4 linked regions of the Notamacropus eugenii genome follow. The protein of the gene in region 1 purifies or fractionates together with the protein of each later gene. This does not show direct contact. Links are inferred from orthologs where the notes say so. Each region holds a gene or a part of one and is shown on either strand. Other genes may lie near its edges.

Region 1 (7,016 bases):
AGGTTATTGAGGACTATTGTTTCTTACTCTCCATTGTCTACTCTGTTCCATTGATACATATATATATATACATACATATATATATTTTAACTAGTACTACATCGGTTTGATGACTGCTGCTTTATAATACAGGTTGAGGTCTAGAAGTTTGATTCCCCCTTAATATCACCCTCTTTTCATCATTTCCCTGGATATTTCATATCTTTTGTTTTCACAAACAAATTTGTTTATCAAAGTTCTAAAAAAATTATCATCTTGGCAATCCACTTGGTATAGCATTAAAATGTAAATTAACTTTGATAGTATTGTCATTTTTATTATATTGGCATTGCCTAGTCATAAGCCATAAATATTCCACTAGCTGTTTAAGCTGGTTTTTCTTATTTTAAGTAGACTTTCTATTTGAAGCTCTACAAATCTTTTATGTGCTTTGGTAGGTTTATTCCCAGATATTTTATGCATTTTGTAGTTATTCAAGATGGAATTTCCCTTTCTATTACTGCTTCTTCTGTCTTGCTATTATTATGTAGAAATGCTATTGATTTTTGAGGATTTATTTTCCCAATTACATTAAATGCTTTTAGTATTAATTTTTTAAAAATTTGACTTCTAAATTCTCTCCCTCCCTTCTGCCCTTTCCCTACCCCTGGAGAAGGTAAGGAATTTGATAACAATTATACCTGTGAAGTCATGAAAACCATATTTTGATATCACTTATGTTGCAAAAGAAACACACAAAACCCCCAAGAAAAATCAAATAAAAAAGTATGCTTCAATCTATACTTACAGTTCATCGGTTTTCTCTCTGGTAGAGCATAGCACATTTCTTCATCGGTTCTTTGTAACTGCTTTGGATCATTTGTTTTTATCAGAGTAGCTGAGTCTTTCACAATTGATCACCATAACAATATTGTGTTACTGTGTACAATGTTCTCTTGGTTCTGCTTACTTCATTTTGCCTCAGTTAAATACCACTTTTCAGGGTTTTTTTGAAGCCATTCTGCTGGTCATTTCTTATAGCACAATAAACGTTTTCTCATAATCATATACCACAACTTATTTAGCCATTCTCCAATTGATGGGCATCCCCTCAATTTCCACTTCTTTGCCCTCACAAAAGGAGCTGATATAAATATTTTCATGTGAACAGGTCCTTTTCCTTTTCTGCTGAAGCTATTGTCTCAGTATCTTTTTTTGGATTTTCCAAGTATAACATCATAACATTAGTAAATTGGGATCATTTTATCTCCTCATTATCTATCTTTGTCTTTAATTTTTTCTTGTCTTTTTTTGCTTTGCTAGCATTTCTAGCACTATATCAAATAATAGTGGAAAAAGTGAGTATCTTTGCTTCCCTCCCTTATTTTTTGAAAAAGGTTCTAATGTATCTCCATTGCATCTGATAATCATTTAATATCAATTTAATAACCTCAATAAGGGCCAGAGTCTGAATTTATCAACCAGAAGAAGATTTTGGACCTGACAACCTCTTTGTTTTCTGAAGTAAACTCAGAAACTACCTTTTCCTATGTCAACAAGGCCAGATGGGGCTGACTTAAGAGCATTTTCCTCTGCTTAAGGATGAGACCCTTAATCTGAGACACTATCTTGAAAAATGGGACTTTTTCTGTATCTTAATATTTTGTGGACATATACTATGTTATGGCATGTTAATAGTAAAAAAACCACAGATATCCTGGGTCATAATTTCAATTGATGTTTTGTCAACTCTTTTATCTTATTGTATTTACCACCTATTCAATTAAGAAAATTCCTTTCTCATAATTTGGTTAATCATATATGGGGATTGTTCTAAAATGTGTTTAAGCCTAGTCATTCTTATTCCAGACAGTCAGAACTTATGTTTTGGCTCCCTGAAGCATGTATCTGCTAACTTTAAGGGAATAAACAATATGAATTTACATATCATCTAGCTTGTTTGCCTCTTTAACCAAACTTTCAGGTTGACACATATTATGCTTGCTTTTGGTTTTAGGTAGATGCTTTTTATGATTTAAAAAAAAATCCCTCATTGCCTATGCTTTGTAGGCTTTTTAGCATAAAAGAGAGATGTGCATTGTTAAAGATGCTTTTAAGATGTGCTTTTTTCTGCATCTATTAAGATGATCATGTGATATTGGATGTTTTGTTTTTGATACAATTATGTTTATTGTTTTCTTAATGTTAAATATTTCATTCTTGCATCCCTGGTATAATTCCCATTTGATCATAATGAATGATTTCTTGGATACATTGTTATAGTCTGTTTGATAGAATTTGGTCGAAATTTTTGGGTCAATATTCTTTAATGATGTTGACTTATAGTTTTCCTGCTTTAGGAATTAGGATTAAGTTTTCTCATAAAAGGATTCTGGTAGATTTTTTTTCTCTTTCAATTTTCAGAATAATTTGCCTAGTTTGAGTATTAATTGTTCTTTAAAGTTTTAATAGAATTCTGAGTATCAGAACCAAGAATTTTTTTTGCTTTTCTCTTTATAGCTACATTTGTTTCCTTTTCTAAAATTAAGTTATTTAACATCTGTATCTGGTTTTCTGATAGTATGCACATTTTATATGTTCAAAGGCATTCCTCTCTTTCTTTTGTTTCCAGTTTTGTTAGCATATAGCTGTGTATGATATGCTCAGATCATTCTTTTTTTTGTGAGATTTCTTTTTTTGTGTTTTTGAGATTTATACATATATTTATGTGTCCATATATATGTATATATACATATTCAAAGCATCAGTTTTTAGTTCTATTTACTGTTTCTATGGGTTTTTTGTTTCTAATTTATTTCTCCTGTAATTTTTAATATCTCCTCTTTTGTGCACATTTCAGCTTATTTATTTGTTGGCTTTTCAATTTTAAAAAATACATATTAAGTGTATTATTTTTTCTTTTTCTATTTAGTTAATATATATTTGTAGAATGAGATCTTCCCCTTCCCGTTAGGATTGCTTTAGCTATATCACTGAAATTTTGTTATGTTATTTCATTATATTTTCTTTATAATTATAATTAATTACAATTAATAAAATAATTATAAAAAATAATATTTCTTATAATTTCTTTAATAATTATTGTTTTTATGATTTGTTCTTTGATCCATGCATTATTTAGGATTTCAACGTTAGGTTTCCTTTTGAGTCTGTCTTCTGTAAATGTTTTCCCACTTGGCTTATCTGCTTATTTATCATCTTCCTAGTCCAAAGACCTTTAGTACTTGCAGTCTCTCCTCCCTCCAACTCTCATTTATTTTCCTTATCATTCTTCAGTTCCTTCTCCTCCAATTGTGATTTCTTCCGGGGCTGGATCTCAAAGCAGATTAGTCTCTTTCCACCTGGGGCAAATCACAGTTCACCAGCCTATGTCTATGCCCTTAGTTTTAGGTGGGCAGAACTGACCCCATTCAGATGCAATCTCTTTCAGGCTTAGTGGAGTACTACACAGAGTTTCCTCCCACATTCAAAGCTTCTTATAATGGGATGCTGTCCCTCTCCTGTTCCTTAGGTCTGTGGCCCAGCACTAGCTGTAGTGCTACAGGGTTGGTTTCCGCAGTTTGTGTCTCCTAGACTCTGGGACCATGGGCTTGCGAGTTTGAGCTGTTTTTCAAGGTCAGTCACACGTCCTACCCCTCCTGCAGAGATCTTTCCTAGTACTGTTGCTGGACTGTTGAGGACCCAGCATGCTTCTGCCTCTGGAGCAACGCTGTGGTTCTGGTCTTCTGCCCTTTCCAGAACAAATTTTTGCATCCTAGAGCCGTTATCCTCAAGGCTCTGGAAAGAGGGAGTCCCAGAACTTCTTGATGCCAGGACCTTTCCTCTGGGATTACTTTCAGGATGACCTTTGTATGCCCACAGTTCGCAAGATCTCTTGCTAAAATGTGAGCTCCTTAAATTCTGGGGCTGGTTACCTTTTTTTCCTTTTCTTTGTACCTGGTACATAGCTAGGGCTTAATAAACGTTTGCTGACTGTTTGAGTTGAATGTGTAGAAAACACTTTATCTTTCTGCATTCCTTAACATACTATATAAATATGAGTTGCCATTCTGAGTACCAAAAGAGGGTCTCTTCCTTGAAGTCTGCAGGATGGGGTGGGGTGAGGCAAAGAGGGCACTGGGGCACAGTGGACATGTGTGAGTGAAGGGCGAGGTTTCCTAGTTAACACTTATTTTTCTTGTAAATTGGGCAACTTCATTTCCCTTTTTGAACTTGTTTTCTCATCTTTTCAGTGAATTCATTCAGCAGCATAAATGGTAAGTGTTTAACAATTAGCTCTGGGGAAAAATGTACTCACAACGCACTTTTTAAGTTTAATCTGCATTATTAACACATTTTATTAATTTATATTAAATTTAATTAAAATTATTTTTTCGAGTCTGGACAGTCAACAAGCTAAATCAGGCTCTGATACGCAGCTTCTGCCGATCTCCAAAGTATAAAGGGTTCATAGTATACTGCTGAAGAGTAGGTTGTAAAAGGCTTCCCCACAGCAGGCTCCGCATGCCTGGACTCTAAAGAACTGGTGAGTTTGGGGGAGGAAGTGGGAAGCCTGAGGCAGCCTCCAGCGTCCCTTCGGGGTGCGCCCGGAACTACATTTCCCAGCAGGCGCTTCGCGCCAGGCGTGCAGCAACGCGCCAGGACCGCGCTATCGTGGTGACGTATTCGTTCTAATTCCTCCTCTGCGAGAATAGCTTCTAGTTGTAGCCCTCAGGAGTTTTAGCCAGGTAGAAGAGGGGAGAGTGGAATGGGGCAAATAAAATCTCCTTTGTAATTCCGTATGGTTACTGTCCTTCTTTCGCCGCTCTCTCCTCCTCCGGCCTCTTCCTGACTCGCCGCCCCCCACAGCCCGACGTCGCTCCGCTGGGCCCGGACCGGAGGCGCAGCGCTGCGCATGCCCACTGGCCGCGAAGCGGGTGGACCGGCTCCGAGGGAAGCCGGGAGATCGGAGCGCGGGAGCGCAGGAGGGTGAGGGGAGCGGCGGGTGGCGCGCCGGCGAGCAGAGCCGAGCGGAGCCGAGCGGAGCCGAGCCAGCGTCGTGCGGGGGGTTTGCCCGCTGGTGTTCCAGTGCCCGGGCGAGGCGGCGCTGCGCTCTCCCCCACCATGGCTGCGTTGCGCTACGCGGGTCTGGACGACACTGACAGTGAGGACGAGCTGCCCCCGGGCTGGGAGGAGAGGACCACCAAGGACGGCTGGGTGTACTTCGCCAAGTAAGGGGCTGGCGGGGCCGGGCTGCCGCCCCCGCCCGACCTCAGCCCTCCGGTCCTCGCGCCGCACCGTCCGCCTGCCCCTGCAGACCCACCCTCCCCGTCTGTCCCGGCCCCGCTCCGCCTCTCCCCCTCCCCGGACGCCGGTGCCCCTGGGCCCACGCGTGCCGCGGGAGCCCCTGCCCCCCGCGCACTGACGCTCTCTCCCCCTCCCACCTTTACACAGCCCTGCGCGCGGGAGCCCAGGAGCCCCTCGTGCCCATGCCTGCGCGGCTGCTCTTACGTTGGCTCAGATGTGCCCAGACACCTGTGCGCAGGCACCGGTGCACTTACCTTCACTCAGATGTACACTTGTGCACAGGTACCCATGCACTTACATTCACTCAGATGTGCGCATACCTGTGCGCAGGCACCCGTGCACTTACATTCACTCCAGTGTACACACACTTGTGCCCAGGCACCGGTGCACTTACATGCACTCAGATGTGCGCATACCTGTGCGCAGGCACCCATGCACTTACATTCACTCAGATGTACACTTGTGCACAGGTACCCATGCACTTACATTCACTCAGATGTGCGCATACCTGTGCGCAGGCACCCGTGCACTTACATTCACTCAGATGTACACACACTTGTGCCCAGGCACCTGTGCACTTACATTCACTCCAGTGTACACACACCTGTGCGCAGGCACCCGTGCACTTACATTCACTCAGATGTACACACACTTGTGCCCAGGCACCTGTGCACTTACATTCACTCCAGTGTACACACATCTGTACGCAGGCACCTGTGCACTTACTTTCACTCAGATGTACACTTGTGCACAGGCACCCATGCACTTACATTCACTCAGATGTACACACACCTGTGCCCAGACACCCGTGCACTTACATTCACTCAGATGTACACTTGTGACCAGGCACCTGTGCACTTACATTCACTCACATGTACACTTGTGCACAGACACCCATACACTTAACATTCACTCAGATGTGCACACACCTGTGCCCAGACACCCGTGCACTTACATTCACTCAGATATACACACACTTGTGACCAGGCACCCGTGCACTTACAGTCACTCAGATGTGCACACACCTGTGTGTGCACTTGCGCGCACTTGTGGACCTACCTCTGCAGCTGCTCTTACAGGCACACACATACTTAAGGCATAGCACAAAGTCCTCTCCAAGTCTGTGATTTGGTAATACAGCTTACACCGTCTCTGTCACTGATACATTCTCATTCAGGGCTCACCTACAGAAACTTCCTCCCTTCCCCTGTAAATACAGACTTAGACACAACTCTATGTGATGTGCATTCTCACAGCTGTCATATTCCTTCACCCTGAAATTAATTCACGTTTCTATCCCACTTTGATAAATTGTCTAATTTGAGCCTCCCAACAATTCTGCGGAGCTGAGACTGCAAGCATTTATTATTCTCATTTTAGTGATGAGGAAACTGAGGTATAGAGTAGTTAAGTGACTTGTCCGGGGTCACTCAGCTAGTAAGTGTCTGAGGCCATACTTGAACTCGGGCCCACTGCTCTATGCACTTTGTGTAAAACTCTTGGAAGAGATACAAAGATCATTTAGAAGTGGCCTTAAAGGAGTGTATGAGGCCAGCCAAAGTGTCACACACATTGTCATACTGTCACATAACACCATAGAATCATACAACCATTAGGAGAGAAGGATCTAATCCAACCCCCTTTTTTAGCACAGAGAGAGGAAATGACTTCCCCAAGGTCACATGGTTAGAAAATGGCAGAGCTAAGACTCTTAAGTCAATCTTTCTGAC
Region 2 (7,158 bases), on another chromosome or scaffold:
ACAGGGATAATGTGGGCAAAGAAAAACAGAGATCTAAGGTAAGCAGAAAGAGGAATCACATCAGCTTCAGGTGAGGAGGGGAGTAAGGAGTGTGGGGACAGAATGGAAAGGGAGATATAAGACATACCTGCTCATGGTATCATCCTCATCTGAATCTCCCAGGCTGGTGTTCTCCAGTTCACTAGTTAGTAGAGTAGAGGAGCTCTCATAGCCAGCCAGGTGTCGCTCCAGGCGGGAAGAACCACTAGGCCGATGGCCCCCACCTTAGTAAGATGTATGGATATAGGTGGCTGGACTTCTGCTCCAGGGAGATCCAAAGTCTAGCACCCTATGTCCCTGGTTCTCCCCTGCCCATCTTTCACTGCTCCTATCTCCTTTTGGACCCAGAATGTGCATACTGCACAAACCATGCCTCCTTTTCTCAGAATTTAGGAGTGTGACTGCCCTTACCAACATGATCAATGCTCTCTCTTCTCCTGGACCGCTCCCGTCTCAGTGATATTACTGACTCGGTTTCTGTCTCAGGTTCCAGGTTCTCTCGGCTGCTCGATACATTAGGGCTAGAAAAGGAATGGGGTCAGGGAAAAAGGTAATGATGATGGGATTCCTCCTAAAAGCAATGATGATCAGCCAGCCCCAGAATCTAACTAGAAGCTGATCTTTTCTCTCCCTCCCATCACCAACAAGGCTCCCCAGTACTCACTGGAAGGATGGAGGCCTTGAGTCCCCAATGCCGCTAGTCCTTTCAGGAGGGAGGGGAGGCAGTGGTGGGGGTGGAGATGAGGGTTCTGCCCGAGGTTCAGGGGCTGGGGGAGCATTCTCTGGCTGTGGGTTATCTGAGGACACAAGCTACAGAGGTGGGGAACAGGGATGAAAAAGGACTTTTAGGAAAGGTAAGAACAGGGTAAAAGTTCCGGTGGGGAAATGATTCTAGGAGGGAGGGAGAAGAAGATGGAGATGATAAGGAGAACCTGGAAGGGGACCCAAGATAGAAAAACAAAACCTAGAAACTCAAAGAAAAGAATCTTGAGAGTCACATAGAATGGTAAACTGGGGTTTATGAGACTGAAAAGTTGTTCTGAGGGAAGGGAATAGGAAAAATCTGAAAGCGAGGCAGGGGCAAGAGCAGAGTGGTGAGGAGGCGTTCCTTTTAAGGAAACTGGTGGGGATGCTAATGTGGAAGAATGAGGGTCCCCTCATTCCCCTCAAGCCACCTTACCCAAGAGACCACTCTCCCATTGAAGCAAGGCAATCGGGCATTGTCATCTGAAATCTCTTCCTTCACCACGCTGCAAGGAGATGAGAACAAAGTCAACAGTGCTAGATGAAATAAGGCTGTTTCAAAGGTTCTGCCTTTGAACATTTCAGCCTTCTTTTTGAGCCCCTCCTAATGTGGGGCATTAGGGGGGGTCTTTTAAAGACAGTTAGCATTTCCCCTCCTCACTCCCTCAAGTTAATAACAGCCCAACTCCTCATCTCCCTCTAGGAATCCCCCTACCTAGTAATTCTTCCTACTTACTTCCTTTTCCTTTTCTTTTCAACCTAAGAACCTGGCAGGAGTTTTAAATGTTTCTTGCGTTTACTTGAAACTTCTTAGCTTAACTTTCAAGAGTAACCCCCCCAAGCTCACCCAATCTCCTTAAACTATTTGTCTAACCTTAAGGTCTCTCTACCCCAGTTGGGTAAACATGGTCCCCCTTTCTTTTGCCCCTGCTTTACCTTCTCCAGACATCAAGTCTTTGCAGAGATGTGTCCCCCTTACTTCCCAAATCTACAACTCTTCCTAATTTCCTAATTCTGTTCCAATGGGAGTCTTGACTGATCTCATTTACCCCCAGCTTTCATTCCACTATTACCTACCAGCACTCCTGTCTGAAGCTCTGTCCAGTCAGTGAATGTTTTTCTTTCCCCTTCCCTCTGATCCATGTCTAGAAATCCTCCCAAATATATACCATCTGCACCTGGATTTCTGCATGCGTCTAGGTGAGCACTCTATCAGACTGGCCAAGGGTGAGGGCTGTGTCTCTCCCATCAGGGTGGAAACTACCCTCCCCATTCCACCCCAAACTTCAAAGGAATGACAACTCTCCCTTTTTCCTTTCCCCAGCGCAAGATTTCATAGAATGCAAAGAGACAGACCCACCAATCCTGCAATGCCCAAATTTCCTAGTCTTCCTTCCCTCTGTAGGTCTCTTTGATCCACACCTCCTCCAGGAGATCACACTGACTTTGTCCCCTAACTGCACACCCTCCACCACTGGCCTTTCGGGGCACCTCACTAACAGCCCAGGATTCTCTCCGTCAGGACGAGGAGACACGGCCCAGCACACTCAGTCCCCAGCACTATCCTCGTCATCAGAAGGATGGCTTACCTTCATTTATCACTTTTTGTTTTAAGTGTGACAAAAGCAGTGCCAACCTCGTCACCCAGAAGTCAGTGGGAAGAGCCTGACTGCACGTCTAGAGACCTGGGTTCTAATTCTGGCTCTGACATTGACTATCTGTGTAACTGGGCAAAGCCACTTAACCTCTCAGTGCCTCAGTTTCCACATCTGCAAAATAAGGTTCGGTCTGATTTTCCGACGGTCCAAAGCGGCACGAAGCCTTCTACTTCTCCCCCCGGCCTCCCGAGCGGCATCCACGCCCAGGGCTGCGGCCCCGGGCCCCGCCACGCCTCCCGGCCGCGGCCGGGCCCTGGGCCCCGCGCCCCGCGCTCACCCGAAGTCCTGGTCCATTGACTTGAAGTAGTACTTGGCCCCGGCGGGGCGCTGCAGGACGCTCTTAAAGTCTCCCAGGGTGATGCGCTCGGCCGGGACCGGGATCTTGACCAGGTACGGCGTCTCCTCCTCGTCCAGATGGTAGATCACCTTGGTCTCGCCGGCCCCGCCGAGCCCAGCGGCGCCGCTGCCCGCCATGGTCTGGCCCGCGTCGCCCTCCCCGCCTCCGAGCTCCCCTCTCCTCTCCCCGCTCCCACCAGCCCCGGCCCAGCCGCCGCGGCCGCCGCGCCTGCGCACACGGCCGCTCAGCCCAGCCAGCCATCCCGGGCAGGCTAGGGGAGGGGGAGGGGGCGGAGCCCGGCCCGCTTACACCTCCGAAGTGGACGCCCTCCCGGCGTCCCCTCCCTCCCACCCAGCCCCACGCCACACACTTCCCACTGCCGCCCCCTCACGTGACACGGTACGCCTCACTTCCGGCTCCTCAGCTCCCCTCGGTCACGTGAGGACTCCCCAGCCTCTGCCCACCCACGGTGCTGCCGTCCCTTCCCCCGAAAACTCCCACCCCCTCACTCTTCCCTCATCTTCCCTCTCCCAATCCCCAGCCGGGGCCCGCCCCTAAAATTACCTCCAGCTCTCACCATCGTCCGGGGACCAAGAAAACACCTTCCTTCACAGACCAGCCCTCTTCTTACACCTCTGTCCCCACACATCCTCACCATGCCCCCCAGCCCCGAAGAACAGACACTCACTCGGAGCCGGCTACTGGGAACTTTCTCACTTATGGTCCAAAGGCTTACGTTCGAGTGTCTAAACCAGGAGACCTTAGAGGGCTGGACACGGGCTAGACCTCAGCATTTTGGGGGGAAGAACACGATCGCTTAGCCTTGCTTTCCCTCCTTTTCTCCATCAGATACATATCTTCCAAGAAGGAAAGGACAAGGGTCACAGGGCTATAAACACAAAAGAGCCCACTGTTTTATTTACAAACACGCGGTATGTACAAGCAGCTGGCCAATATTATTAAAACAAAGAAGTGGGGAGATGATGGAAATATCACCTGTCCCCCACAAAAGACAAGAGACCCATGTGTTACGTTCCTTTAGGCCACCTGAGCCAAAAGGTTTTCAGAAGGAAAGAAATGGGGGAAGAGGTTTGAGAAAATAAAAGGCAAGGGTCCAAACAAATGACAGAAGAAAGGGGTGGGCAATGCTATATTACACTAGAGGTATAGACAACTGCCTCACCCCACCCTGATTCCAGCCCTAAGTCTGGGCTGGTGGATATGGGAGTGAGCAGGGTCAACTGGCAGAACAGTGAAGGGATGAAGTAGGGAATCTTAGGAACAGGGGCATCTTCCTGTTCAATGGGTCAAAATTCAAGTCCTAAAGTCTTTAGGGAAAGACCCATTCATTCCCAAGTAAGCCTTCCTTGAGAATCCCCACCCCATCATGGGACAGTGTTCAAATCCCAATGGATCAGTGGCAACATTGGGACCCCGTCTCAGTTGATGATGTCTGTGAAGAGTTCCGACTTGAAGTAAGAAAAGTTTGGATGGGTCCTAGGGCTCTCCAGGCTTGGAGAGACCACCAGACCGCCGGGCCTCTGGCCGCAACTCCTTGCACTTCTGGCAGTAAAATATGTCAGGGACATTGGTCTTCTTAATCTTAGCACATGAAAGATGGATCCATGTTCCACACAAACTGCACTCAATCATGGGCCTCCCTGCAAAGGGCTTCTGGCAATAACAGGTGATCAAGTCCCATGAGTCATCACCTGAGAGAAGGGATGGTTGTGATCAGATTTCTGCTGAAGACTCACAGTCTAGAGAATTTCAAGCATTCCCCCCTCCATCCCAAAGAACCCACTCCCTTCAGGGACAAAAGTGTATGTTCTTCTGTCTTCCCACCCCTACTCCCCAGAGTACTTCCCTCAAACACCCTTCTTACCTGATTCTACCATGATGTCCTCATCCATTACCCGCATTTCACCCTCACTGGAGCTCCCATCCCCATCCTGGCTTGTCTCTGTGCTCCCCACTTCCTTGGCTTCACTCTCAGCAGGGATTCCTCCTGGGGGGGTTGAGGTGAAGGGCCGGGGAGCCTCAGGGGGTGGAGGGAGTGCAGAAGCTGGGGCCTCACCCCCACAACTGCCTGCTACTGCTGTTGTCACTGCTACCATTTCATCTTCCTCCTCCTCCTCCTCCTCTTCCTCTTCTTCAGAGTCTGTGTCACTGGGAAGAGCCCGAGGGGGCCCAGAAGGGGGGGGTCGATCCCCCCTTTCCGGCTTTTTCAACTTTCGTTTCTTACTCTTCTTTATTCTTGACCTCTTCTCACCATCTGCAGGAGCTGATCGAGGTCTCCGAAGCACTCCAAAGCTTCCTCCCCCTCCTGGCCCCAATTTTCGGTTCTTTCGGTCCTTTTTTCGGGAGGGTTGAGGGAGATCCTCCTGGGAAGCAATGACAGGGGTGAGGGTAGTAGGGGGCCGAGGGACATGTGTTGGGGGTGCGGGGACCAGAGGGGGTGCCACTTTGGGTCCATCCAGATCAAAGAGAGAGTCCTTAAGCTTCATCTTCTCAAGCAGTGTAGCATTGTCAGAGGCCTGCAGTCGAGGGAAGGTGGGCCCTGGTGGAGGGGGACCTGCTTGAGCAGCCCTCCTCTTAGAAGATTTAGCCTTTTTGACAAAAGTCTGGATGGTTCGAAGGTCTGAAGGGGCTGAATCCCAGCCATCACTATCTGCAGCACTCTCTCCCCGAAATGGTGAACTAGAGCCAGAGGCTGGCCAGTCACTTTCCTAGGGGTGGGTGGGAAGGGAGGGTTAAGTGTTGGTGCCCCCTTTCAACAAAATTCCAACTCCATTTCCCACACTTGCAAGACACATCAGACTTAACCACAACCGGGTACTACAGCAGTCATCTAATACCCTGGGTCTCTTGCACACAGTTAACTTCTCCAAGCCCAACCAATTCAGATTATCTAACCAACCCACCTACCTCCCTATAAATGCCAACAATTCAGCCCCTAAACTAAGCAGTCTCCAAACATCTCCATGAAGTGTCTTTTGTCACTAGAACCCATATCTCCCCCCCATGATCTATTATCCTAACCGTAATTCTAATAATAATAACCAGACAGTACACAGAACTTTTAAGGTTTGCAAATGGACTTCCTTACAACCTTGTCAAGCAGACAGTTTAAGTGTCATCCCGATTTTATAGATGCTTATGATCATCGATAGCAATTATCTTGGACAGGATTTGAGCCAAGGCCTCATGACACTAAATGCAACCACAGATATCTTCAACCTTACCTCCACAAGATCCCAAGAGTGCCCCCAAGACTCTCAAAAACTTTTCTGGCACACCCAAAATAACAAACAAAACCATCATTCCCCAATTGTCCTAGTTCCCTAACTTGTCCCTTCCTCCTGCAACTGCCTACATTAACTTTATCTCCATTAATTCTAATTCTCTTGAACCCCCATAACTTCTCCATTTTTGATATCCTTTGATTCTCCATCCTATCACATCGCCCAACGCGAAAAAAAAAACCACATTTTTTTCTTCATAGACCTTCTAGATTTATTTCCATAACTACCCTTAAACTCCCCTTTACCCCTTCAATCTCCCTAAATCTTATACAATAGCCTTCCCTCCCTTTGCCCTCACCCAAATCCTTCACATCCCATCCTTAAGATCATTGCCCCTACCTCTTTGCTGGAGGGAATGTAGCCGGCATATGCCAAGACAAAACTGCAAAATTTGTTGAAATCCTCAATTGTTCGCCTTCGTTTTTCAGGGGGCTACAGAAAAAGAAGGAATCAGACACCTGGATTTTCAAAGGGAACAGTGGTCCAAAAGCAAAGTTCCCCTGAAAAGAGGTAGAAGGAGTAGAGATCTGGGGGAATCTTACATGTCTGGTTCCCTAAAGAAAGTTTGGGTTGAAGTAGGAAGGGAAATCTCACCTGGGCCTCTGGCTTCAGGTTTGGAGGAAGATCTGAAAAAATCAATAAAAGCCCTGAGTCAAGGTACTGGAAAAATGTACATGCTTCTTTCCCCAAACGTTGTTACTCTTGAAGGACCCCCCACCTCTCTTTCCTCCCTCCCTTCCCACAGGAGGCATGAGTGATTGTGCTCCCACTTTCTTCCTAGCTAATCTTCCTTGTTCCAGTGCCCAGTCTTCTCAGAGTGCAATGGTTTACATGTGCCCTCCCATGTTGATGTTTCTCCAGGTTCTACTCTACTTCTTTCCACTGTTACCCTTCGTGGTCCCAAGGGCCCCTGGCTCCTCCTTTGCCCTTTATTCTGGGCTCCCATTCCCAATCCCTTTGGTTGGGACACTCCCACACACCATCAGGTCCTGTGCCCCACCACTCTAGTCTCTGGATTCTCTTTTCTGGCCAGTTCATGCAGAATCCCTTGTTCCCACTCCTCAAAGTTCTCAGG
Region 3 (7,365 bases), on another chromosome or scaffold:
AAATATGCCACTAGGTACTGGGGATTCCAGGATAAAGACTGTTACTTTACACTGTTTTTAAGTCCCTAACCTCAAAGGTCTTCCATTCTACTAAGGGACACAATATGGAAGCAGATATGTGTCTATGAGAACACTTCAGGAAAACAAAGATCAACATCCTCTAAGGGGAAATCTAGAAAGGCTTCCATTATGACCCAGCACCTGAGCAGAGTCTTAAAGGAAGCTAGAAATTCTAAGAATGAGGAGAGAGGCGCATTCTAGACTCTAAGGGCAGGCAACACTAAGGCCTAGGGTCAGAAGACAGGAGTCAACAATTAGCTGTGCAGTTTGGCTGGAACACAGAGTACATGAAGGGGAGTGATAGAAAATAAGTCTGGAAAGGTAAAGAGGAGCCAGATTGTGAAGGACTTTAAATGCCAAGCTGAGGAGTTTGTATTACCATCAATTACAAGCTGTCAACACAACAATCCACCATCATCCAGGATAGGGCCAAAAATTCAATCTTCCAGAAGTTCCCAAAGAACCAGATGTTGGGTTTTGTTTGCCAGCCTTTCTTATTTGGAGGGTACTATCATTGTACTGCTTTGCCCTAGAGCTAGTTCTATCATTCCTTTCAGAGACGGCTCTGGTGTATTTCCCACCAATAAAAATACTTTGCAAAAGTACTGTATTCCTGATAAGAAAGACTGTGGTAGTAGTGGTATAACTTCCCTTGGAAGGAGCTAATGGGTAGACTCAAAGTAAAAATAATGCTAGATTAATTCACCCAAGGCCTAAAATGCAACATATGCATGGATGCATTAACACATACATACAATAAAGTTTCATGTAAACAATTGCGTCTCCTTTTTCTTCTTGGTTAAAGTCACCTGTAAATTCACTGAAGCTATAAGCTTTCTAGGTTTTCAAATCTTAAACAACCAGACAACACTAAGCATGCACTCAGGCGTGCGTGCGCACGCGCGCGCACACACACACACACACACACAGATTAAAAAAAATACACCAGGAAGGCATTTTTCTACCCAAAACAAAACAAAACAGGGAAGTCTTTGATAAGAACGAAGTAGGAGCATATTGTCAGAGCTTTGTGGGAGAAACTTTTATGGCAACCTGCCTGGTTTAAACCAGATGGACTAGTCTTTTTATGAGAACTAAGATTTGCTCTCAAAATACAAAAATATTATTATTTTATGAGGGAGAAAGGAGGGGAAAAACTAGTCCTTTGCAGAACGAACTCAGACCCTCGCAAAAAGAAGGAAAGTTTCCACAATCTTCCCCAAGGGCTTTACCGTTCAGAATACAGTAAGAGTTAGGGTGCCCCTCCTTTCCCATCCTGTTTGAGTTTAGATGTTAACTATTGCTTCATCTGAAATGACTGATGCCGAGAACAAAGTTAATTCAGCCACTCCATCCCCACCGCGTTCTGGCTCCTGCCCACTTTAGAGAACACACTCCATCAACAAATGGGCAGGTGTCCAAACAGGGATCCAACTTCCAAGCCAGCCCTAACCTCAATCTGTGCGCAGGCCTTATCAGATTTAGCTAGGAAGCTTACAACCTCAATCCGTTCCAAGAAAGGGAACGTGGCTCAATATGTTCACTACTTAAGTGAGTCAATTTCCACACAGCAACAAGCCTTTCTTCTATTTCTGTGCCGGTTTCTGGCCACGTTCTCAAACTGGCAGCTCTCCTTTTTAAGAAGTATGCAGGGTTGCTTAGTGGGGGGGAGTTTTCCCCTCTTACTTTCGTCGGAGATAGGTTAGCAGAATCCCTCTGAAATTCTCTAACTGTACACCTGCTCCACAGGAGCCCAAGGTGAACCGACCGCACCGAGACCAAACGAAATTCAGGGCACGTCACTTTCAATAGGAGGACTTCCTAATAACCTTATCCACAGATTTGCTCCCCAGGATGCCTCTGGGGAGATAGTAGTTCTTCCCCTACAGTCCCTAGGTAAGATAAGGCCTTTCCCTATCCACCTTCCCAGCTCAACATACTCATTTCCAGGCTACCTCCAGACAGATTTTCCTTTCCAAAAGGTTCCTGATTCCTCCGCACTGGAGAGGACAAACCCAAATAAAGCAGCATGTCCAGCCAAGAGGTAGCTGGCTACAAGGGAGGAGAGAGGAGTCGGGGAAAGGGTCAGGCACGGCAGACCCCCTTTCCAGGGTGTCTCAGCAGTGACTCTAAGCTAGGCTATTCAGCGGCTGGCATTTGTGCATCTAGATATCGGTGCCTCCGGTGAGCCCCGGTTTCCAAACCAACGCCCCGGTGTCCTCGAGGTGGGCTTGTCCCGGGCGATCGCGAGGCAGGCAGCCGGTCCCCGAACTTGCCACGCCACCGCTCCTTTCTGGGTTATTGTTTGCGTTTCCAGGACACATCTGCGAAGGTGATCGGGCAGCCCCGGTCCCCAGTGCCTACCTCCAGCAGGAGCCACAGCAGCAGCGAGAGGAGGATCCTCCACGGAGCCGGCTTCATGGCTCCTTCTCCGCTCCGGTCCCGGCGGGCAGAGAAAGGGCGTGCGGCTCTCCCCCTGGTCCTCCTCCGGCTTCAGAAACGCTGGCGAGCAGTCCGCGGAACGAGCCCCCTCATCCTGTCCCCGGAGGGGAGGGACGGTGGGTGGGAGCAAGCCTGGGAGCCGCCTGCGTGCCTCCGGGCGCGCCGCCCTCGGGAGCCGGAGCCCAAGGAGAGCCGGGGAACGGAGCGAAGTCCTGGGAGTGACCGACGCGGCTCCGCTCTCCTGGCAGAGCCAGGCTTCCCCGCCCCGCGAGCGCGCGTGCGTGTGTGTGTGTGTGTGTGTGTGTGTGTGTGTGTGTGTGTGTGTGTGTGTGTGTGTGTGTGTGTGTGTGTGTGTGTGTGTGTCTGTGCGTGCGCTGGCTCTTGCACACACACACACACACACACACACACACACACACGCACACACACACACACACACGCAGTGGGCGTGCACAGTGCAGGGAGGAGGCGGAGAGCCGGCCCGCTCGCTCTTTCTCCCCCCTCCCGCGAGCTGAAGCCGGGGAGCCGGCTGGCACGATGGACAGCGGAGGCAAATGTGGGCGCGCCCCGAGCGCGCGAGGCCGGAGCCCGCACCGTGGGCATGCCGTGCTCGGAGAGCTCGGGGCTACCCAGACACTCCCTCCCGGGGCGAGGCTGGGATGGGGTACGGGGAGGCCGTCTCCCTCACCGAGCACCCTGCGCACCGAGCGCACTCTGCGCCCCGGACCTGGGGACAGGGAAGGTTGGAGGGGACCGGCGGAATCTCCAGACGGCCAGGGCCAAGGTGAAGGAGGCCCGAGCTGGGGGAGACAAGAGGGGGAAGGTCCCGGAAGGGAGATGGCGGGAACTACTTGGAGAAGGGCCGGGTAGGTGAGCCAATGGATGGGTAAAGCAGCCCCCTCAAGTGCCAGGAAGAGTGGGCCTCAGGAGGGCAGGAGAACCCCCCTCCCAGCGCAAGAACGAAATGAACCGAGGAGGCAGATGGAATAGGGAGCGGCAAGGATTCCTCAGCATCACTCCTCTCTTGGTTATACCGGGGAGGTCATACTTCCCGACCTCTCCCCCCACCTTTCCTCCTGTTGTGAGCGACGGAATACACATATCTCGAGACCCCACCGGTGAATGGGGCGAATGCAGCAGAAGAAAGAAAACAAAAGCAGATATTAGGAGTATGGAGATGGACAGGTGTGTAGTTCATATGGGAGCTGTCCCTGAGGACACAAATATTCCTTTTCTCCGATTTAGATATTGGAATCCATAGCTCTCATTGGAGTAAGGTTTTTGGAAACATAGCGTGCTGTTTATGCGCCTGGTAATACAATACAGTGCAAAGGCTACTGGGTTTGTAGTCCGAAGACATAGGTTCAGATTAAGATGCCACCATTTACAATGTAACATTAGGAAAGTCACTAAAACCCCCAGGGTCTTAGTTCATCCCTAAATGTGAGTGAGTTGGACGGGATCACTAAGGAGGTTCCTCCCAGTTCTGGATATGTGATCCAATGATTCCTAAGGCATTGGTCGTGTTGCTTGCCAGGTCAGACTTTGAGGATTTGGGAACCACAAATTTCAGTCTTTCATCACTGGATTCCATAGCAAAGATCCAAGGCAGATAAGGGAGAAATCTCGCCTCCAGCTCCTTGCAATCAAACTGAAAGAAATAAGAAAGCATGAAAAGAAAAAACTAAAAGACTGTGAGAGCTGAGTGATAGGGCAAACAGAGTGCAGATAAGTGTTGGCTATATAACTTTGGAGACTAGAAGCCTCAGGCCTCCTAAAAGAAAAGAGGCTTTAATTGAGATCTAAAAGTTGGATTGGTGTTGGATTGAAATGGCTGTGGAAATAGCGTGACCAAGGGCTATGAAACAAGGCAGCACGTTTGTAGGCAGGGTCAAATTGTATCTGGCCAGAGCAAAGAGTTTTGAGGAGTAGTTAAAGAAAGGTTGGACAGGTAGGGCGTAGAGTTAGACTGAGAACAGTCTTGAGTTTAGATTTTATGTCAGAGGCATTTTTGTTGTTGTTGAGTCATTTCAGTTATGTCCAACTCTTTGTCACCCCATTTGAGTGTTTTCTAGGCAAAATAGAGTGGTTGGTCATTTCCTCCTCCAGCTCATTTTACAGATGAGGAAACTGAGGAAACAAGGTGAAGTGACTTGCCCAGGGTCACACAGCTACTAAATGTCTGAAGCCAGATTTGAACTCTGGAGGATGAGTCTTCCAGAGTCTAGGCCCAGTGCTCTATCTACTGTGCCAGGCAGCTGCCCAGAGAAATTAAAGAACTGGTATATGTTCAAGAGGGTGGCATGAAGAAAAAGAAGTTTTAGGGAGATTGTCTGGGTAGCAGGAGGCAGAGTGGATTGGAGGAAAGACCATAGACAAGAATAACTTATCTCTGTTCTCTTTCCATTCCAAATTCTATAATCTGTGATCCTAAAGCCAGTTAGCAAAATGATGCAAAAAATGCAGACCCAGGTAACTGGGAGAATGGTGGTGCTAGCAACAATATGACGTGTGCTGTCATTTTATGGTTATGTCTATTTATGAGTTTGAGTTGGAAGGCTGTTTGTTACTAAGTGTGCCATGCAGTTAGGCACCATCAATTAAGCAGCTAGAAGAAGTGAATGAAGTGCCAGGCCGGAGTCAAGAAGATTCATCTTCCTGAGTTCCAGTATGGCCTCAGACACTTATTAACTGTGTTCAAGTTTGTATAAAAGTTCAAGTTTGTATAAAAGTCAGTTTTTTTTAAGTACCTTTAGGTTTTCCTTTAATCACTTCAATAAATATCTGGCTCACTTTAAATCTGCTTCTTGAAGGATTTATGACTTTTTTTTTCAGAACCTACATTTTATAACACATTTTTATTAAATGGAACAATTTTTAAATAAGGAAATAGTGCTATCCTCAATAAGTAAGTTAGGAGATGGAGTTGACAAGTGAATGGGGGGAGAGAAAATGGTAACAAGAAAGAATTTGGTGAAAGAGAAGAGATAAAGGAAGATAGCTTGAAGGGATGGTAGAGTCAGATGAAGGTTTTTTAAAGACTGGGAGATAACTTCAGGTATTTGTAGGCAGCTGGGAATATGCTAATAGATAGGGAGAGATTGAAGATTAGAGACCATGCTTTCTGAAGACGTCGGTCAGAAGAGATGGTAGGAGATAGGATAGAAAAGAGAAACTGATGGAAAAGTGATTAGACTTGGATGATTTAGGGAAACAGAATCTTAAGGAAGAAAGGGTTTAGAGAAGAAGGGAGTTATCCTAGTATTTAGAGCTAGAAGATCTCTTAAGGATTATGGGATCTTTTGCTGTTTTTATTTTATTAAAAGTGCCAATGATTGAATAATGGTAAGGAGGATCTTTCCCACCCATTGATGGGCCTGTCCATTGCGGGAAGCTTGATGAAAAAAACTGAGGCCCAGAACATTAAACTACTTGCTCAAGGTCGTAGAAGTAGTAACAGAGCTAACTTTCCAACCTAGGTCTTTTAAATCCAAATTCATTGTTATTTCCAGCGCACTTCATATACCACATAGTATTAGATACTGCAGGGGAGTCACGGAGACAAAAGCCTAAAAATAGATCAGTAGATTTGGCAAAAAGTTGGTTGGTTCACTCAATAAATCTGTTTTAAAAACCCAGTTTACCAGGGCTTAAGGAGGAATTGAAGTGTGGAGTTCATCAGAAAAAGAAGGGAAAGAAATAATACATACAGTAACTGAAGGAAGCAGAAACATTAAGCAAGGCTTGCTTTGTTTTGTTTTGTTGTTAAGATGGAGGAAACTTGGGCATATCCAAAAGCAAGGGGAGAGAATTCAAGGAAGAATTCCCTGGCTTGCACAGTCTGATTTGGCAGACTGCTGCATTCTCCACCTGTCCCATCCCTCCCACTCAACTTTCTAAGCAATCCCAAAGGTTCCTTATAGGCAAATTTAGTCACCTATTGCTGCCATAAGTCACTTGCCAACACATTGAAATTTGCATAAATTATCTGGGTTTCTTTTGCTAGTCACATAATTACTGTAATTTCAATTAACCATCCTTGGCATTTTCTATAGCCTCCATTTTTTTATATTCTCAAGTTTTCTGAAAGATGTATTTTGCGATTTACCAACTTCATGATGTAAGTTAAATAACAGAACCTGCTCTTTATTTAGCGCCTTAAAGTTTTCAAAGTGGTTTATCTAAATGATCCCTTTGGGTCCTCATAATGCTGTGAGGTAGGTGCTACAGGTGTATTGTCCCCACTTTACAGATGAGGAAACTGAGACTTGGGGAGGTGAAGTGATTTTTCCATAACAGTATTTGAACCCAGATTTCTTTTGACTTTTAAGTCTGTAATGGCAAGTAAAATGGGATCTTTTGCTGTTTTTATTTTATTAAAAGTGCCAATGATTGAATAATGGTAAGGAGGATCTTTCCCACCCTTTGATGGGCCTGTCCATTGCGGGAAGCTTGATTAGGGGAGTTGTTTTGTAGGTTGGTCCCAAATACCTTTTGGGGTTTTTTTTCTGTTGAGGCACTTGGGGTTACGCCCTCTGACTCTAAAAAGTGTATAAATACTCGGAATGAGGTTTTACTCTGGAGCTTACTGAGTGGAAGTGTTTCTTTGGCCAGAGAGACTCTGGGAGGCTGCTAAGGACACTACCACCCCACCCCCAACCACTGCTATAACCCAGAAGTTGATGCTTCCCTCTTTGGTCATGTAAGCATGTAATGGTCAGACATTTTGGAAGCATGTCTGTTGACTTTTGATTTCTCTGTATTTTCTCTGAAATTTTGATTTTCTCTGATTCCTGTGCTTGATTAAAGTGATTGTTAACCCGTTGAAAGTTGCTTTCCTTTTATGAATGCAGATCTAAGAAC
Region 4 (7,903 bases), on another chromosome or scaffold:
AATTTCAAGTGCATAGTCACCGCCCGAATAACAATGGGACTCAAAGCCTCACACTCCAGAAAGAACTCACTTTGGGTTATGACAATTCGCCAAAGGCTGGGGGGGGGGGGGGGGGGGGGAGTAGAAGTGCTGTGCACTGCGATGAGGAAGAGGACAGCTGCAGAACTAATTTGGATTACATTCCTTACAGAAATTCTGAAAAGAGCTTTGAGGAAGAGCTCAACCCCTGAGCCGCACACTTAATACCAAATTGCTGTAGACTCCGAGGCGGTCCCCATGGCTGAGGCTGAACCAGACAAACCCCCACTAGGCTGCCTCATAGAAATTCCTATCAGCTAAGCATATATGTCAGCCTCAAGTGCTTTTGAATGGGTCAACCTGCATAATCAACTCATTGAGGAAAATATGGAGAGGATCGTGGGACGAAGACGAAAGGCCAGTGGCCAGGAGGCTGCCTTGAAATCTGCAAGCCGCACTGGGGTGATTCCGAGGCTGATCTGAAGGCAGGCTTTGGCAGTACTTAACACAGCATATAAAAGGCAAAGACCAGGAATTCTAGTATCATTTTTAAAGCCCCAGTGATGATAACTGGGTGTTTGCTTGAAGAAGAGGGAAGGAGAAGGCTGGAGTGGAGAGGAGAGGGAGGAGAGATAGCTGGCGTAGGGAGTAAGAAAACTAAGCGGCGTCTTTTCTGCTTAAGGTCACAAGGACACCATAGGCGTCCCTAAAGCATTCTCCTTAACCCCTCCCCTTCTTCCTACCCCTGAAGCTTTATCTTGTCAGCCAGCCTCCCACGCTACATCAAGTATCTCTGGTGTGATCACTTGCTGCCAGATCAGGAAACAGCACCGGCTGTCCAAATGGCACCCTCTGGCCATCTCAGACATCTCTCTTTCCTTTTGGCTACACTCAGTCCCCTGATCAGCCATCTCCTCGTTCCCATTCCTATCATCTGGGAAGCTCAAGTGTCAGAAACTTTTAGCTCACTCGCACGACACGTCCTGTCAAAGACCCTGCCACTAAGCTCTCCCCCGACCCCTCCTCCTTTTCTGTTCAGTTACATTCGTGCGTCCTGCTACCTGAGGCTAAGCAGCCCAGCCAACAGCTAGCGCACCGTGGTGCCCGATTCGCCTCGGATTAGAAAGGATCAAGTGATGGGCGAGCTATCCGACCAGCCCCAATTCTAACAGGGAAGTTTGAGGGACCCTGGCCAATAGTAGACACTAGCAGGAGGAACTCTGATGGGCGTCTAACCTCACAGAGTGCGGCTGTTATTCTCGTGAATAAAGTTTGCCAAGCCCTTTGGCTGCTAGACCCTCTACCAGACACTCTCTCGACCCTACCGGGGGCTGTTAAAGAAAAGGGATCTAGATGGATTGTGAGTTTTAAGAGATCAGCTTCTGGTCAAAACAGGAAAGCGGGTGGTGTTAAGAAAACGATGCTTTTCTGGTAGCAGCTGTATGCTGTGACTGTCTCCGGACTATGTCTGAAATCTTGGCTATGTCAACACTCGGGTGACTTGTGTCAGAGCCCTATTCCTGCTTCTCTCCCCCACGCAGGTACAAAAGCGCACACGGACATAGACACATGAGGCGCTTTGGAATCAAAAGGCCAGGAGCTCCACAGAAGGAGCAAGGCAATGATCGATCCTTTTTCTTTTTCGCGCCGCGGAACAGCCAAAAAGTCCTATTTACTCCGTCTCTTTTCTTTCGGGGACGGAGGGGTGGAGAGGCAGGAGAGGTGGAAAAAAAGGGGAATTGTCTGCGCTGATTGGGATTTTCCGTGTGCGTCTTCTACGTCTTAGACAAGCAGGCTGAAAGAACTAAGCCTTCTGCTAACCCACAGAGCGAAAAAGAAGAGACTGGGGTGGGGGGGGGGGGAGGTGAGGGAGAGAGACGGAGGAGAAAGGGGTTACATAGTGATTTCCACGCACGCACTAGAAGGAGAGCAAAACCAAGCAAGTTGGAGGTGGAAATGATGCAGGGGGCGGCGATGAAACAAATTCGGATCAGCTTCTCCGAGACTGGAAACGATCTATCAATAGAGGCGGGAAGTGGGAGGGAGGGGAGACCACAAACACAAATCATCCAGACAGCAGCAGGTTCCACAGCTGGAGGGAGAGCGATAGAAAGCAGAGACTGCGACCCACCTGACTGAGAAGCTCCGGGCTGGGGGGTCCAGGCTACCACGAGAAGGCTCACACAGACCCACAGTCTCGAAGCCAGCTTCATTTTTTGGAAGTCTCAAATCCTTTGCCGACAATTACATGTCCAAATCGCATATCCCCTTATTGTATCCCTCAGATGGATGTGGATGGGCGAGAGTGGGTACTGGGAAGAGAGAAAGAGAGGTGCACAGTGTATTTGTGTGTGTGTGTGTGTGTGTGTGTGTGTATCTGTGCGCGCCGGCTATTCCAGGAATGGAGGTGAATGAGGGTGCGCGTGTTGTGTGTCAGCGCTGCTGCCGGTCCCAGTTGAGGTCCAACTGTGAGTAGATTTCCCCCAGTGATCGTCCTCTGTCTTGCACTCGCTCCTTCGGGTTGGTCAACAATAAAAAGAGAGAAGAAAAAAAGTTGCTCTCACCAAGGTGGTAGATTTCCTGCTTTTCGCTCTCTTGCAAGCACTGCTCTCTCCTCCTTTGGTGCTCCCTGTGCACACCCCCGGTGTGAGTCGGGGGAGGCTGGAGGAGAGCCCCTGGCGTCTCCCACGGCTCCGGCCGTCCCCTCCTCACCCCCGCTCCGGGCTCCTCAGACTTGTCCAGCGGCTGTAGGAGTTAAAGCCTCCGAGCGTCGATTCCAGCGCTCCCCCTTCTTTCGCAGAGGCAGCGGCCGCAGCGGTAACAGCAGCTTGGAGAAATTAGCAAGACTCCAAAAAAAAAAAAAAAAATGGAAGCGGGATTGGGGAGAGGGGAGTATGGGAGGGGGGGGCGTTGTGAGAAAGGAAAACCCTCCACGGAACGAGGGACTGAGAGACAGACACAGCTTGGTGGCTTAAACCCCGCCTCTGCTCTGACCCAGCTAGCCACACCCCTTCTCCCATTCCACCCCCCCTCCCCAAATCTAAAATCTCATTGGCTCAGCCACTCCCCAAAATCCTGAGCCTCCAGAGTTGGGAGAACACCTGTCAGGAGAATGAAAGGGGTGGCGTGGGCGGGGGAGGGGAGCTGGTCTTAAAGGGCTAGTGCCAACTGTGAGGTTAAGACACTCCTCTTCCCGCCCCCCGCTTCTCCACCCCCCCGTCGCCCCCCCCCGCCCCAGCCAGAGTCCCAGGACAGCTGGCAGGCAGTGCTGGGCAGTATGCCCAGAGGGGGTGCTTAGATGGGGAAAAGGCCCCGATTGCCCCCATGGTGGTCTGAAGGGACGCTGCCTTGCCTCTCCCTCTTCCCCAGAAAGAGAAACAAGGCCAAAGCTCAAAAGCAGACTGCAAAAAGGGATTCTCAGAAGGAAAAAAAAATAAGTTGTGTCTCCCCCTTCCTCAACTTCACTCCGCTCAAAAATAATAATAATTCAAGGGCTAGCACACATAGCCCTCTTTCCAAAGAGGTGAGACCAAGAGAAAGGAGTCTTGGCAGAATAAAAAAGTCTTGCTTACAAGAAAGGGAAAAAATCCTCCTCCTCTCACACTGGCGAGTCCTTCTCTATCATTTAACCATGGCTCCGAGGCTCCGGAAAGGAGCAAGCTGTGAGCTAGAACCATAGCTCTGACCACAATCCAAGAGAACAATGCCAGGTATCACTTGCTAATATCCAGTCATCATCCTTTTATCCTTCACACTCCCAGAGAGCAGGCCTCCGCCCCTAGAAACTTTTCCACATTGAGTTCTGGCTGAAGAACTGAGATAGAGGCATAAATGCAGCCAATTCAAGGAAATTATTCTGGGACAGTGAGAAGATCTCATCTACTCCAACTAGGGAAATAACTATGGCAGAATGGGAAGGGTATTTTTCAGGCAAAAAAAGAAAAATGGAGTTATCTCCTGGCTTGGCCATTAGATAACTTTATGACCTTGGATAAGTCACTTAGCTACTCTTAGTTTTGACCTCCTGGTCTATAAAATGAGGGAACTGGGCCAGCCCTGAAATTTTATGAATCTTTTAACTTTATAGATCCACTTTCCGTGGCTCGCTATGCCAATTTGAAGGTAATCCAGAGTGTGATTTCAAGTCCAGAGAGTGCCTTTCAATCCCAAATGGTAGTCAGCCTACATCACTCATGTCTTCAAGTAATTTGGTCAATACAGAATTGAGTCTCACACATATCCAATGACTCATCCAAAAGATCCATTTGCACAAGAAGCCCATCTTGGAAATAAACTAACTACCAAGGTCCACTCCAGGATCAACCTAATTCCTCAAGGGTCCTTTATTTATTGTGGTAGTGAATTCAATCAGTGGCCAGTACTTGACCCCACATGAGCTGGGTCAACCTGACTCTCAAGTTTGAAAGGTGATATGGTGATATTTGTACAATTATCCCTGAGATAAAAATATTTTCACTGTTGGTTTTCCTTGAAAGTAACAGCAGCGAGAAGCAAGAACTGCTGGAGTCAACACCACCATGCCCCCCCCCCCCCCCTGCCAACTCCGTTTCTTATTTCACCTGAAGTACTTCCCCTTTCTTTCCTAGGCTTTGTCACTTAAGAACATCAGCAGAGGCTTGGGTCAAATAAATATGGAATAAATACCCCAGAGACCCTTTATAGAGCTGGAAGATTTTACTGCCTTGCGTGTACAAGTGGCAGTACTTTGGAAGGGGGATTGCTGTGTTGTTGTGTTGTTGTTGCTGCTGCTACTGTTAGTTTCTGAGTCAACCTCCGATCCCCAGGACTTTAAATGAATACAGCTTGAGAGAGATGAAAGGGACCCTGGTAAACCGGCACAGGTAAAGCAACCTCTCAGACTGGATATTAGATAGGAGCAATCAGAGGCACTGATTGCAATGGGACTGTGTAAGCTGCCTTTTCGGCTGTCATTTTTGTTCCAATTTTTGTCTGCCCCTCTCTTCTTTTTTTTTTTTTCAGCTACTTTCTTCTCTTCCAACATTCTTTCCTCTTTTGATGAATAATAATAAGTAACAATATCAAGTCACATTCCCATAGTGATTTATTTATGCCTTACAAAGTCAAGTTTTGAACCTCACTGCAGCCCAATGAGATATTAGTGCAGTCACTGTCACCCTGATTTTACAGATGAAACCAAGGTTCTGCCAAGATATGTGACTTGTTCAAGTAGATGGGGCTTGTGGGTAGCAGGGCTGGGATTCGAAACCATTTGTGAATCCAGAATTTGATGCTCTTCTAGCATACCACAGCTGCCTCAAAAAAATTGCTTGTTTCTATAGTTCTTTGAAGATTATAAAACACTTTCATCACAACATCTTAAGAAAATATTATCATTCTCTTTTTTAAAAAATGAGGAAACTGAGATTCAGGGAGGTTAATTGACTTTTCCACAGTAACACAAAGAGTCCCAAAGTCAAGACATCTAATGCTAAGTGCAGGATTCTTTTGGGGCAAGGTGCTGAACCTCTCTGGGTCTCAGTTTCCTCACCTGTAAATGGGGATAATAATAGTACCTACCTCACAGGGTTTTTGTGGACTTCAGAAGAACTGACATGCTTTTCACTTTGCAAATCTTAAAAGCACTACAGAAATGCTACTTGTTGTCTCCGTTTTTTATTATTCTTATTACACCACACTAGCTCACGTAGACTGGGTCTTTAAGCTTTACAATCTGTACTACATTAGCCTTTAATTATATTCAGTCCTGTATTGTTATCTAATCATTTCAGTTTTATTCTGATTCCTACTCTCCAGTTTGGAAATTTCTGAGTAGTACAAACTATATCCTATACATTTTTTACTTCTTTTGAAGACTCTAGAGCAGCCATAACATATAGATGTTCAGTTCTTATTTGCTGATTAAAAATCTTGTCCATCTTCCTGTGTACATAGGTACAATGGTCTTGGGGTGATATAGAAGAAAAGCAAGGCAGAGTTCATGCAGGTCACTTTCCAGCCCTGAAGTTCGTGGTGATGGAAACTGGGGACAAAACCCTCCCCCTACTGGAGGAAGGTGAAATTGGTACTCATGTCTTGGTGAGGAGAAAGTGGAGAGAAAAATGACCCAATAATCCTTTCCCAAGTTGTTTCTTCCTCTCTGATGTCATGTATCAGACATGACTGTTCTCAAGTTTTCCTGTTTCTCCTAACCTAAGTGATAATCCTCAGAGATGACTTTGTACTAGATTCATTTGTTCATTGAAATGTATTGAGTGCATTGTTGTTTTTCAGTCATTCAGTCAAGTACAGCTCTCCATGACCTGGTGGACCATATTATCTGTGGGATTTTCTTGGCAAGGATATTGAAGTGGTTTGCCATTTCCGTCTCCCATATTAAGTGTGTACCACATGTAAGTCACTGTGCCTGGGTTAAAAGAGATTCAAAGATGAATAAGACAAAACCCCTAACCCTAAGAAATTTATAACATAATAGGAAATGATAAGACATATACATATATGTATACATGTACGTATATGTGTGTATGTTATACTCAAATAAATACAATACAAAGTAGAGACAGATAAAATATAAAAGAGATTCAAAATGCTCTAAGAGATACCAGTAGAAGAAGTTCTACCTACATGGTAGGGTATCAGGAAAGGACTCTTGGAGAAAGTGACATTTAAACTGGACTTTGAAGTGTTGGTAAAATGTCAATAGGCAAAAATGGAAGGGAAAACATTCCAAGTTAGGAGATAGTGGGGGTCATGGAACGATAGCTTGAAAACACAGGACACAAGCTGAAAAATCCAATTTAGCTAGAGAATAGATTATGGGAAAGGGAGTGGTAAATGATATGGCAGGAGAAGTAAATTGGATTCAGACAAAGGGGAGGGGGGTCTTGGATGCCAGGATAAAGAGTTAGAGCTTTATTTTTTAGGTACTGGGTAGCCATTAAAATTTTTAGTAGGGGAGTGATATGATCATAGCTATTCATTAAAAAGAGTCATCAGGTGCAGAGTGAAGCAAGCAGAACCAAGAAAATAATTTATATCATTTCATTAACATTGTAAAATCAAACAATACTTAAAACCTCTGATCACCACAATGATCACTCTTGCTTTCAGAAAATGGATGATGAAAAATGCATCCTACCTCCTTACAGAAAAGAGATGGACTAAAAATATGTAGAGTGAGATACATGTTTTTGGACATGGCCTATATGGGAATTTTTTCATTATGCTTACTTGTTACAAAGGTTTTATTTTTATCTTTTTCCAAGTGGGGATGGTGGTAGGAGAGGAAAAAAAAAGACATTTTTGACAATTGAAAAAATTAATTTAAAAATTTATCCAGAAATAATTATTTATTTTGGTTGTTGTTGAGTTGTTACAGTCATGTCTGACTGTGTGACCGCATTTGGGGTTTTCTTGCAAAGATGCTGGAATGGTTTGCCATTTCCTTCTCCAGCTCATTTTACAGATGAGAAAACTGAAGCAAACAGGGCCAAGTGACTTGCCCAGGGTCATACAGCTTGTAAGTGTCTGAGGCCAGATTTGAATTCAGGAAGAGGAATCTTCCTGACTCCAGGACTGGCACTCTATCCTCATTCTGGACCCCCAAGTAAGTGGAGAGTGATATATAATAGAAACAGAAAGGTAGTTTGGGGCATAGTTATAAAAGTCTTTAAGTCACAAACAGAGGAGTTTATTACCAAGGGACAATAAGGAGCCACTAGAATTTATTGAAAAGGAAGTAACATGGTCAGATCTAGGCTTAAAAAAATGTCTTTGGCAGCTCTGTGTTTTGGGAAGAGAATGAAGGGAAAAAAATCAATTAGGAGACTACTGCAATAGTCCAGCCAACAGGGGATGAAGACCTGAAGTAACATGGCAGTCACAA

The links.
Region 2: the proteins of WWOX (region 1) and DVL2 purify together in Homo sapiens (affinity purification with mass spectrometry; 4 studies listed by BioGRID and IntAct, counting the BioPlex papers as one, with this or other methods). This does not show direct contact. The link is inferred for Notamacropus eugenii from reciprocal best matches to the Homo sapiens genes WWOX and DVL2.
Region 3: the proteins of WWOX (region 1) and VOPP1 purify together in Homo sapiens (affinity purification with mass spectrometry; 3 studies listed by BioGRID and IntAct, with this or other methods). This does not show direct contact. The link is inferred for Notamacropus eugenii from reciprocal best matches to the Homo sapiens genes WWOX and VOPP1.
Region 4: the proteins of WWOX (region 1) and ERBB4 purify together in Homo sapiens (affinity purification with western blotting; 4 studies listed by BioGRID). This does not show direct contact. The link is inferred for Notamacropus eugenii from reciprocal best matches to the Homo sapiens genes WWOX and ERBB4.

Annotation. Positions count from the first base shown.
Region 1 is NC_092872.1:678,302,721-678,309,736, reverse strand, and holds the start of WWOX (WW domain-containing oxidoreductase), read left to right. Parts: upstream 1-3,996; 5' UTR 3,997-5,103; coding exon 5,104-5,210; intron 5,211-7,016. UniProt on the Homo sapiens protein: Putative oxidoreductase. Acts as a tumor suppressor and plays a role in apoptosis. Required for normal bone development. May function synergistically with p53/TP53 to control genotoxic stress-induced cell death.
Region 2 is NC_092873.1:78,832,414-78,839,571, reverse strand, and holds the start of DVL2 (segment polarity protein dishevelled homolog DVL-2), read right to left. Parts: upstream 3,020-7,158; 5' UTR 2,916-3,019; coding exon 2,719-2,915; intron 1,290-2,718; coding exon 1,220-1,289; intron 850-1,219; coding exon 704-849; intron 561-703; coding exon 451-560; intron 264-450; coding exon 128-263; intron 1-127. Other genes in the region: PHF23 (PHD finger protein 23), read right to left, coding at 4,276-4,490, 4,664-5,507, 6,423-6,515, 6,678-6,709.
Region 3 is NC_092874.1:420,883,284-420,890,648, forward strand, and holds the start of VOPP1 (WW domain binding protein VOPP1), read right to left. Parts: upstream 3,013-7,365; 5' UTR 2,482-3,012; coding exon 2,425-2,481; intron 1-2,424. UniProt on the Homo sapiens protein: Increases the transcriptional activity of NFKB1 by facilitating its nuclear translocation, DNA-binding and associated apoptotic response, when overexpressed. May sequester WWOX in lysosomal vesicles and thereby regulate WWOX role as tumor suppressor.
Region 4 is NC_092877.1:310,178,197-310,186,099, forward strand, and holds the start of ERBB4 (receptor tyrosine-protein kinase erbB-4), read right to left. Parts: upstream 3,015-7,903; 5' UTR 2,232-3,014; coding exon 2,150-2,231; intron 1-2,149. UniProt on the Homo sapiens protein: Tyrosine-protein kinase that plays an essential role as cell surface receptor for neuregulins and EGF family members and regulates development of the heart, the central nervous system and the mammary gland, gene transcription, cell proliferation, differentiation, migration and apoptosis.